3 linked regions of the Diceros bicornis minor genome follow. The protein of the gene in region 3 purifies or fractionates together with the protein of the main gene of each other region. This does not show direct contact. Links are inferred from orthologs where the notes say so. Each region holds a gene or a part of one and is shown on either strand. Other genes may lie near its edges.

Region 1 (3,747 bases), on a different chromosome or scaffold from region 3:
ATCCTACGCAGATTTAGGAGCAGAGATCTTTAGGCAAAGGAAACAGTATAAATTCCTAAAGTGGGAATTTTAAGCTTGACTCATTGGAAGAACAAGAAGAGTGGCTGGAGTATACTGATGACAGAGCAGAACCCTGTAAGTCAGGGTATGGCGTTTGCCATGGAAAGTCATCCGAGAGTTGTAAACAGAGGAGTAACGTGGTCTGACTCTGGATTTGTTTTGAAAGCAGAACCGGCAGGGTTTACAGATACACTGTTATGTAGGAAACGAAGGAAAAGGAGGACCCAAGAATGACTCCTACCTACACTTTGAACTAAGCAATCGGATAGATGGTGCCATTTACTGAAATGGGTAAGACTGAAGGAGGCACACTTAGGCCAGGAGAGCGACACAAGAGTTCCATGTTAGACCTGCGACATCTCAGACAGATAAGCAGGTGTGCTGCTCCTCGGAGACGTCGGGGCAGGGGGTGCTCACATACACGTACGCAGGTACCCAATAACCACTGCAAACATTACTAAAACAGCCACCTGTTCCTTCCTAGACAACAACCCGGAGGGGACGCGGAGCAGCGGGCTCACGCCGGGGCGGGTCTTGCCGTCCCAGGGGCGGCTCGTGCGGCGCCGCCTCCCGAGCAGGCCCCACCCCGCGCGCCGGGCGGACCCAAGCTCTCCGCGCCGCTTTCCCGAGGAGGCAAAGGCCCGGAAGTGGGAGGAAGAGGAGCACGTACCCGCCGGGCCTGATCCTCTCTTATATCTTTCTTCACTGAACCGTCTCCACCTAGCAATTGTCGCCGCTCACCGCCCTGGAACCCCGGCCCCCGCCTGGTCTTTACGAAGGAAGGGACGCTCCGACGTCACCTCGCTCCGGAAGTCCTCGAGGACGTTGGCGAAAGGGCCGCTGGGAAAGGCACTGCGAGGCCCCAAGGAGAGTCTGAGGTTGAGGCGGGGCCTGGAGCGTCCCTCCTAGACCAGCCGCCTCCAGGCGTGGCTCGTGGCCAGCGGGCTCTGGCACCGGAAGGACTTAGAGCGAAAGGCGGGAGAAGGAGGCAGCCGAGAGGCGGAGGAAGCCCGAGGGGGCGGTTGCGTGCGGGTCCCAGACGCACGCGGCCTGGTGAGCTCTCAGACGCCGGCCCTCCGCGATCCGAGCCCGCTGAGCCCACCCAGCCGCCTCTCCTCCTTGCGCTTCCGGGGGCCGTCGCGAGCTAGTGCGCCTGCGCGCCGGCCACTCCGCGCTCCGCGCCGCTGTCTTCGCGCCGGCCGGCGGCCCAACGCTTCCTGCCGCGCTTCCCCCCCGGCGTCTCGGCTCGGCAGCGCACCGGCGTGCGGCATGTCGCGGCGGCGGCACAGCGACGAGAACGACGGTGAGTGTCCGGCCCGGCCGCCGAGGCCGCGCCCGGGGGGGCCCGGGTTGGGCTTCCTGGGTCTTCGGGTCTCAGCGAAGGGACGGGAAGCCCTTCGCCCCGGGAGCGTTCGGGGAGCCACAGAGGGAAGGAGGGTGGCACAGCGAGTGTGGCCGGGCGACCCCCGGAAAGCCCCTGCTTCCCCCGCCCCAGCTCCTTTAGCCGTCGGCGGAAAGGAGGCCTGGTGGCCCCCTGGTCTCTAAGGACTTCAGGATTTGGTCCTTAGCATCGCCGAGAGGGGAGGTATACCTGTGTCTGTGCGGCCGCCTCTCAGGGACAGTGACAGGAACCCGCTAGTCCCGGTGTCTCCTTTTGACCCTCAAACTGCCCCTGAAGAGGGTTCTCGGAAGAGTCCTGAAGGAAAGGGACAAAGCCGGGACTGAGAGATCTGAAGAATCACAGCCTGAGGTTTGCCCCTGTCTCGGTCATTTGCCTCCTTTCAAGCTGCAGGGAAAGAAATCTGTCTCTTACCCACACCCAAGAGGTCACTCACTAATAAACAGATGCATGTTGTTAGGTTTGGAACTGGCCATAAGCGTATTTCCCTCGTGTAAGAAAGAGTGCTGGAAAACTAACTGGAGAGCTCTTAGAGATTTAGCTCACGGGTTCCCATCTCCATTTGGAGGGTTGATCTCATGTCCCCATGATGTTGTCGTCATAAAAACGAAGAATAATTTTGCTAGTTAAAAATTGAAAAAGATACTTAAATTACAAAAATCGGTCAGGAATACACACCCACCAAAAAAAAAAAAAGAAGAAGAAACTAAGAGTAATTCTGTTATTAATGTTTTAGTGTATTGTTCTTTGAAAAGAGTGTACTGTAGTGGTTAAAAGGCCAGACTTTGGAATCAGAGGGTTTAAGTTCAAAGCTAGACCCCACCATTTACTTTGTGATCTTGCCTGGGTTATACCACCTTTTAAACCTTAGTGTGTAATAATGTTTATCATCTGTTAATGCTTAAGATGTGGTAAACATTGGCAGATGTCAGTGATGTAAGAAAAAATATGGAGTAAAAATTTTTAGTTGAATTAATTCTCTGCACTAACATTTTTGTCTCCTTGAATATTGGGGCAGTTGAGGGTAGGGGCAGAATCACGTGTATTTAGTTTTAACAATGAAACATCAGATTTCTGCTGGAGTGTGGTTTGATAGGATATTCTAGTCCAGCCTTCTCATCTGACACCTAAAGTTTTGGAGTGTTAGTGTATGGGCTAAACATACATAGTGTATGCGCCAAGGCCTACAGTGGAGATGTTGCACGTTCAGTTCCAGACCACCGCGGTAAAGCAAGTCACACAAACTTTTTGGTTTCCCAGTGCATGTAAAAGTTATATTTACACTATACTGTAGTTTATTAAGTGTGCAGTAGCATTGTATCCAAAGAAACACAATGTACATACCTTAATTAAAAAATAATTTATTGCTAAAAAATGCTAACCATCATCTGAGCCTTCAGCGAGTCATCATCTTTTTGCTGGTGGAGGGTCTTGCCTTGATGTTGGTGGCTGCTGTCTGATTAGGGTGATGGTTGCTCGAGGTTGGAGTGGCTGTGGCAACTGCTTAAAATAAGACAACAGTGAAGTTTGCCACATCAGTTGACTCTTCCTTTCATGAATGATTTCTCTGTAGCATATGATGCTATTTGATAGCATTTTACCCACAGCAGAACTTCTTTCAAAATTGGAGTCAATCCTCTCAAACCCTGCTTTATCACCTGTTGATGTAATGTTCTAAATCTTTTGCTGTCATTTCAACAGTCTTCACAGCATCTTCACCAGGAGTAGATTCCATCTCAAGAAACCACTTTTTTTGCTTATCTATAAGAAGCAACTCTTCATCTGTTCAAGTTTTATCATGAGATTGCAGCAATTCAGTCACATCTTCAGGCTCCACTTCTAATTCTAGTCCTCGTGTTATTTCCACCATATCTGCAGTTACTTCCTCCAGTTAAGCCTTTAACTCCTCAAAGTCATCCATGAGGGTTGGAATCAACTTCTTCCAAACTCCTGTTAACGTTGGTATTTTGACTTCTTCCCACGAATCACAAATGTTCTTAATGGCATCTAGAATGGTGAATCCTTTCCAGAGATTTTCAGTTTACTTTGCCCTGATCCATCCAGGAATCACTATTTATCACAGCTGTAGCTGTATGAAATATATTTCTTAAATAATAAGACTTGACAGTTGAAATTATTCCTTGATGCAGGGGCTGCAGAATGGATGCTGTGTTAGCAGGCATGAAAACAGCATTAATCGTGTTGTACATCTCCATCAGCACACTTGGGTGACCAGGTGCATTGTCAGTGAGCAATAATATTTGGAAAAGAATCTTCTTTTCTGAGTA
Region 2 (3,747 bases), on a different chromosome or scaffold from region 3:
TGAGCTTTTCACACAACTAAATGCATTCCGTTTGAAGGACCACTCTTTATTCTGATTGTCATTTCTACCTTTTTAATGTTAAAATGTTCTGTGTTTTAAGAAAGGATGGCGATAGGAGATGGCATTTATTTGCTTGACAACTTTCTATGACTTCAGATTTTTCTCTGTGTATTTAATTTTACTGATCCTTCAAGTCTAAATATTTGGAAATGCTTTCAACGAAGTTCAAACCTTTATTTTGTAGAAAGCACCCTGGGAGTTACCGTCAGGAGCACACTGTCGGGGGAAGAGGGAGAATCTCCTTCTGCCCTTTTCCTTAAGGTTCTTATGGCTAGCCAAATAATTAACAAGACAGGAGAAAATAATACCAAGTTTAATAACATGTATACATGGGAGAAACTCAGAAATGAGCAACTCGTCCCTCTGTGTAAGCTGCTTGCTTAAGTATTGCAGCTAAAGGCGAGGAGCGTGTTGGGGGCCGGTAGTGGCCTGGGACTTCAGAGGGCAGGAGGACAATTCTTTTCGGGGTCATCTATAGATAATGTGGTCAGGGAGAGACAGAGTTTTTGATAAAAGAGGCTTGGTGCCTTTGCTATTGTAACCTCTATCCTACATTATCTTTATAGCCATCATGATAGAAGATCTGTTCCAGGAAGGAGCCACCATGTCAAATTCTTTAGGCAGTTAGTGGGGGAGGTCAAATGTCCCTCAGAGAAAACAATCAAGGTAAAGAGATATATTTCAGGGTGGCCAAATCTTGATCTCCCACAACACTCATCTCTATTCAACACTTATTTATTTAGTTGTGATTGGGCTTCAAGTAAAGCTTAGTACTAACACTATGGGGAGTGACGCGTCAAGATGAGTAAGAAGGTTCTGAGTAAGAAGGTTCGTCCTCACCGGTTTCCGATTTAGCCTGTGCATTATCCAGTTAAGAAACAATGTCAGAGTGAGTGCCATGGAACCTAGAGTGGTTTGGCAGTTGCTGGAGGAGGGTGAAGACCCTGAACCCTGAAAAATGTGGCAAGGTAGAGAGGAAGGAAAACCCATGCTAAGAAGGCAGGCAGACAGGAACCGAGGCTTGGAGTGCCTTCCTGCGTGCTGGGGAGAGCAGCGTCTGTGTCGCAGCGTGGTGAAGACAGAAGGGACGAGGGAGGTGCGGGCGGGCTGCGAGGGTCCCGCGGTTCAGGGAGAACCGGCTCGAGGTGCAGCACTGGGCATGGGAAGGAAGCGCTAGATAAAGAGCCACGTGAAACTGCTACCAACACGACTTGGAGAGCGACCAAATCCAAGCGATACAGAAGATCAAGGAAGCCAACCTGCATGACCCACTGGCCAGTCAACGCATGCCAGGGGTGGAGTCGGACACGCCCCGCGGGCTCGCGCACCCAATCAGCGACGAGACCCCTCGCCCCGCGGGACACGCCCCCTGCCTCAGACTTCCGGCAAGCTCGTCTTCCCGACAGCCTCGGGAACGCGGCGCCCATCGGCGCCTGCGCAGGCCTCAGGTCTCCCGCAGCCAACATGGCGGCTCTCTGTGTGTTCTGCGGCACAGCAGTTTCCTACCGCCTCTTTCTTGGGAGTAGGGTTAGTCTTGCCCGGGGACAAGGCCTCTGGAAAGCCGCGGCTGCTGAGTTGCAGACAGGTACCGGATCCCAGGTAAGGCCCGGGAGAAGCGGAAGCGCTGGTCCCTGTAGCGCGTGGATGTGGAGCCGGCGCCGCCACCTTCCCCTGGCGTCTCGTGTGCTCTCACACCGGACCCTGGAGTCTTAGGTATTTAGTAGAGGTCTGAGGTTGAGAGAGGAGGAGTGGTTATTGCTTTGCGGCGGCCACTCTACGTGTTGTTTGTGGTTTGCGCAGCATGCAGTGAGGGGGGAAGGTGTCTGCAGACGGAACTACAGCGACCTCCCTTGACTCGGCTGCCAGGCTAAGGGAAGCCTGTGCCGAGGTGTGGTGTCGGTCCAGAGGGGAGGAGAGCCGCGCCGGGGCGGGTGAATGAGAACTGGACTCCTGCAGTGGCCTGGAAGACTTAACGGAGAAAGTCACACAGTGGAGAGGATAAACAGTGAATTTCTAAAAGTGCTTTGCATGTATGCAGTTTCCGTTTTCTTAATTTTCCCAATGCTTTGTCTCTGGAGAGATGGAGACCAGAACTTGTACATTTCGTCTAATTCTGAGGGCAATAGGAAGCCAGCTTTACAGCTGGTTGGATGATGATGCCATTCACTGACATGGGATCTCAGAAGGAGGAACGAGATTTGAGAGGGAAGTTTAGTTTTGGATACAGTTGTATTTATTATGTTATAATTGGGATGTCCAAGTGGAGATTTCCAGTAGGCCCATAGATAGGCAAGTCTGTAGTTCAAGAAGAGAACTGATTTACAAGTCGTCTATTGCCTTGTAGATGGTAATAAGTTAGATCACCTCAGGAGGGTGTGCTGAATCAGGAATAAGCAGAGGTACAGGGCCCTGAAGGACAAACAGTCAAGGAAGAGGACCCCCGAGAGATTGAGAATGAGCTGCCAGAGAACTAGGGGAAAAACCAGACAGTGTGGTGTTACGGAAAACAGGAGAATGTTTCCAGGAGGGAAAGTGATAAACAGTACCAAATATTTTCCAATAAAAAAATAATAAAAACAAATGTTTGATGGCTAAATGAATGGATGGATCGGTTGATTTGGGTTAAAATATAAAAGAAATAATATAGGAAAAAGATAGTATTCCTTTTTGCATATAGTTTTAGATTATGATAGTTGACTTCTTGACAATATGTTGAAAGTTTTTATTTTTTCATGCATTTCTTTTGAGTATATCCTTCCTGTATACACATAATTATCTATAAAAGGGACTATAGTATACAGAATGTTTTATTGTTGACACTAAATGTTTGTGTGTGTTGTTGGGGGGGAGGGGTGCTAACTTTCTCTCCCTCCTTTGAATTCCTGAACCTATGTATTTTTCTGTCTTTGTGTTCTTTTAATCCTAGACAAGCATACATGCATGTGGATACTTGCAAAAAAATGGATCCTGTTCTACTTTTTCCTTCTCTAACTTACATATTTAGTAGAAATCCCTGCAAGTCACCTGTTATGTGTCTAACTGCTGCATAATATTATGTGGTATGAATGTATGCAAGTTAATTTAACAAAGGGCATTTGCTTTGTTTCCATTTTCTTCCCACTAATAAAGTGTTCAGTAAACATCCTGGTATAATTCTTAGATGCTGATGCTTTTATTTCTGTAGGAGAGAGTTCCAGTTGTGAGGTTATTGCTGCAAAGGATGTCTATATCTTAAATTTTAATAGATATTGCCATATAGCTTTCCAAAAAGGCTGTGGCAATTCACATTCCATCATTGGTGTTTGAGAGTGCCCCTTTTTCTACCTGCAGTAGGTATTATTATTTTTTCAATAAGATGAGTGAAAAATGAAAAATGATTTCTCCTTGTTACTTTAATTTTCATCTCCCTGACCACTCTTGAATTAGAGTTTTTTTTTTTTTTTTCATGTGGTAAATGTTTACTGAGCACTTTACTTGAGCCAGGCACTGTGAAGTGAACAAATTATAGTCAAACAATTACCAAACAGGATCGACCCTTAGCACTCTTAAGGGATGGTCCTAAGATGGCTGAATCCCCAAAGTCCTGAATACCACCACAGCATATATTTTACCACAACTGAAAGACTTAACTGGCCCCCTCAGACCCTTAATGACTCCATGTGTATGGCTAAAGACATTTATAAAGCT
Region 3 (3,747 bases):
CAACAAAGTAACCACCAGGAGGAAACCATCAGACAAACTCAGAATGTGGGACATTCTACTGGAAACGGGGTTGAACTCTGGGAAAAATCAACAACACAACGGGAAAAAAAAAGTGTGTGGGTGTGTGCATATGTGTGTCTACTCTATATTAAAAGAGACTAAAGAGACATGACAAGTAACGGCAATGGGTGAAATTTGATTGGCTCCTGGTTCAGATTAAAACAAAATATTCTTGGTCAGTTGGGAAAACCTGAATAGAGGCTAAACTTTCTTAGAGATGAAAATAATTTTGTGGTTATGTAGCAGAATGTCCTTATTCTTAGGAGATACATGCTGAAGCATTTAGAGGTGAAATGCTGCAATTTACTTTCCAATGGTAGACCAAAAAAAAACACATTACGAAGGCAGGTTTAGTTTTGTTTATTTTCTTTAAATTTTTTATTTTGAAATAAATTTAGAATTACAAAAAACCTCCAAAAATGGAGCAGAGAGTTCCCACATGCATACACAAATAAAGCAAATGTCAAAATATTTTTGAAAATGTCCTTTTATATGTTTCTTGAAACACGAAATTAGTCATTTACATTTTGTAATAATTTCTGTAATTATTATTAAACAGGCAATTGAACCTATCCAAAAAACTTAAAATACAATACTTAACTCCTGATGGGTCTACAGGGCCCTAAATAGCATGGCTGCTGACTCTAATCTCAGGGCAAATGACATGAGGTTCCTGCCATCCGTCCTAAACCAGGCCCTTTACACTTGCTGTTAACCCTGCCCAGATCTCCCTTCCATCTGGCCTTTGTGCAAATGTCACCTCTTCAGAAGTACCTTCCATCTTCGCCCTTTTTAAATTACCCCGCTCTCACTGCCCACCCTCTTACTCCGCCCTATTTTTCTTTATTGCGCAGACCACTATCCGAAATTATATTTATCTTTTTAAATGACTTTATTGTCTCCCTCAGTACAATGCAAGCTCCAAGAAGAAAAAGACTTTGCTTTAGTCACGTGCTATGTCCCCAGAGACCAAACAGCGCGCTTGCTTAATAGTTGTCGATTTAATAGGTTAGACATCAACTCGGCCACACTATTCACGTAGGGACTCTTTGCCAGGTGGCGGAAGGGTCTATTACGGTATAGACGAAACACGCATGCGCGCAAGATCCGGGAAGTGTGTTAAGGGGAGGGGCGGAGCATCGAGAAGAGTCTCGCGGACACCGGCGGTTGGAGCCGCGAGCGCGAGGTCGAAGGGGAAGGCTTGGTGAGAAGCGCGCGTGCGCACTGCGGCCTCCAGCCTGCCGCGGCAAAGGAGTTTAAGGTGCACGAAGGCGGGGTGGTGACCTCGCGCGTGCGCAGTGCCCGCGGCGGCGCCAGGTCCGTGTGTGTGGGCTGGTCTCGACTCGCGCGGCGCGTGCGCAGTGCGGCCGGCGGAGGGATTTGAGACCGGTTCCACCCCTTGCCCCTGTCGCGAGCCGAGGCCGCGCGGGCTCGTGAGCAGCGGCCTGGTTCGCGCGCTCAGTGGGTGACGGAGGCGGAGGGACGTGGACCCCGCCGGAGTAGAAGACAGAGTAGGAGTTCGTGCTGCTGAGGGGCCGCCGCAGCCGCTGCGAGCCCCCGGACCGTCGCCAGGCCGAGGAGGGCGCCGCGCGGCGGGTGAGTGTGACTGGCCTTACCGGGTGCGGGGCCACTACCCACAAGCCCCTGCGGTGGGCCCCAGTCCCTTCCCCGCGGCCGGGTCCCCGTCCCGCGCCACCGCCAGAGCACCTTTCTGCATCCCTTACCCACAGTCCCCTGGGCACTCAGGCCCTCTTGCCATGGCTCCCCCGCGGTCCCTTACCCACAGGCCCTTGCGGTGTGTTGCCTTTTTTTTCCTTCTCTTTCGCGGCATCCTGGACCCTTACCCATAATTCCTTTCGTCTCTGGGGTCCTAGATGTATTAGCCACAAGCCGTTACTTGAGAGGTTTGCTGCTTAGGACCCTGTCTTTTTGATTGGAGGCTTCCTGTGCCCCCTGCCTCATAACCTGTTCTCCAAGGTATGGGACCCCCAGCCGCCACTGCTGTGGATCTCCCTCGTCAGGATCCTTGATTCCCCCACAAACCCCCAGGGAACCTCTCGGCCTCACAGTTCCTTGCTTGGGACTCAGACTTTGCTCAGAAACCCTTTTTCCGTCCTTGTTTGCCTTACCGGCCTTGCCCTGCCCTCACGCAGCCTTCCCGAAGAACTTGCTTTCTCCTTCGGGTTTACTCCTTGGCCCTGTGACATAGGGTCACTCTGAGCCCTGGCTGAGATCCTGCCCCATTTCCCTCTTTTTCGGGGAGTCAAGGGATTGTAGGGGCTGCCTCTCCACCCGCCCACCCCCACACAAGGCTGTCTTGCTTTGGCCCTCAGACTTGGCAAGATGACCCAGTTCCTGCCGCCCAACCTCCTGGCCCTCTTTGCCCCCCGTGACCCCATCCCGTACCTGCCGCCGCTGGAGAAACTGCCACATGAAAAACACCACAATCAACCTTACTGTGGCATCGCGCCTTACATCCGGGAGTTTGAGGTGAGTTTGCTGAGCAGACTTGGGGTGGTTTGGGTTTTAGGGGCCAGGGGCCTGGATTTGGAGTCCAGTCTCTGGCTGTGTTCCAGCTGTGTGGTTTAGGCAGGTGACTTGCTCTTCGTGATCTTCAGTTTTCCTCTCTTAAATGGGGTTGATAGTACATCCCTTGTAGGGTTTTTGTGAAAATTCAGTGACTAGCAGTGGGGGATTCGGGCTCTGAAGGCAGGTAGTCTTTGGCACACGCCATTTATCAGCTGTGTGACCTTGGGCAAGTGGTGTATACTCTTGTGCATCAATTTCTTCATCTTGGGCCGGCCCCGTGGCTTAGCGGTTAAGTGCGCGCGCTCCGCTACTTGCGGCCCGGGTTCGGAACCCCGGGCGCTCACCGAGGCACCGCTTCTCCGGCCATGCTGAGGCCGCTTCCCACATACAGCAACCAGAAGGACGTGCAACTATGACGTACAACTATCTACTGGGGCTTTGGCGGGGGGCGGGGGAGGACTGGCAATAGATGTTAGCTCAGAGCTGGTCTTTCTCAGCAAAAAGAGGAGGATTAGCACAGATGTTAGCTCAGGGCTGATCTTCCTCACAAAAAAAAAAATTTCTTCATCTTTAGTGAGGGGATAATAGAATTTTCTTCATAACATTGATGGGGAATTAACTGCAAAATTTATGTTATGGGGCCTGGCACCAAACAGTCAGCAAATGTCAACGTGTGTTAGTGTATTTATCATCTTTGTGGCGTTCGTAAAGGGTTAGCACGGTGCGATGGGGTGCTTAAGACCATGGGCTTGAGAACTTGAGCTCTGCACCTGCAGGGTAAACACGAACACATGACTTAGGTTCCTGGGCCTCAGTTTTCTCATTAGTAAAATTGGGATAACAACATCCGTCTCTTAAGGTGCATCAGAGCGCACCTGAGAAATGCTGGCATGCAGCCAGCAGAGGAAAGTTCTGGCATCGAGTGGGAAAGGGCGGCTGGAGGCGGAGGAAGTGGCAGAGCAGAAGTTAGTAGCAAGATAACAGAAGGTTGGCTCTTTAGTGGGATTTGCCGCCCTCAGTGAGCTGGTACTGGGGAAATGTCACTAGCCAGTTAAACTAATTTAGTGGCTGCAGGTCAGTGGCACTCTTTGATGACCCAGGTCATGTGCCATTTACTCCTTAATGAGTGGTTGGTGAGACCCTCAGGAAATCCCCGGG

The links.
Region 1: the proteins of SNRNP70 (region 3) and NCBP1 purify together in Homo sapiens (affinity purification with mass spectrometry; 3 studies listed by BioGRID and IntAct, counting the BioPlex papers as one, with this or other methods). This does not show direct contact. The link is inferred for Diceros bicornis minor from reciprocal best matches to the Homo sapiens genes SNRNP70 and NCBP1.
Region 2: the proteins of SNRNP70 (region 3) and MRPS9 purify together in Homo sapiens (affinity purification with mass spectrometry; 3 studies listed by BioGRID and IntAct, counting the BioPlex papers as one, with this or other methods). This does not show direct contact. The link is inferred for Diceros bicornis minor from reciprocal best matches to the Homo sapiens genes SNRNP70 and MRPS9.

Annotation. Positions count from the first base shown.
Region 1 is NC_080767.1:7,925,701-7,929,447, forward strand, and holds the start of NCBP1 (nuclear cap-binding protein subunit 1), read left to right. Parts: upstream 1-1,234; 5' UTR 1,235-1,329; coding exon 1,330-1,363; intron 1,364-3,747. UniProt on the Homo sapiens protein: Component of the cap-binding complex (CBC), which binds cotranscriptionally to the 5'-cap of pre-mRNAs and is involved in various processes such as pre-mRNA splicing, translation regulation, nonsense-mediated mRNA decay, RNA-mediated gene silencing (RNAi) by microRNAs (miRNAs) and mRNA export.
Region 2 is NC_080779.1:8,698,361-8,702,107, reverse strand, and holds the start of MRPS9 (small ribosomal subunit protein uS9m), read left to right. Parts: upstream 1-1,497; 5' UTR 1,498-1,524; coding exon 1,525-1,659; intron 1,660-3,747.
Region 3 is NC_080773.1:24,587,922-24,591,668, forward strand, and holds the start of SNRNP70 (U1 small nuclear ribonucleoprotein 70 kDa), read left to right. Parts: upstream 1-1,458; 5' UTR 1,459-1,656; intron 1,657-2,393; 5' UTR 2,394-2,403; coding exon 2,404-2,550; intron 2,551-3,747. UniProt on the Homo sapiens protein: Component of the spliceosomal U1 snRNP, which is essential for recognition of the pre-mRNA 5' splice-site and the subsequent assembly of the spliceosome. SNRNP70 binds to the loop I region of U1-snRNA.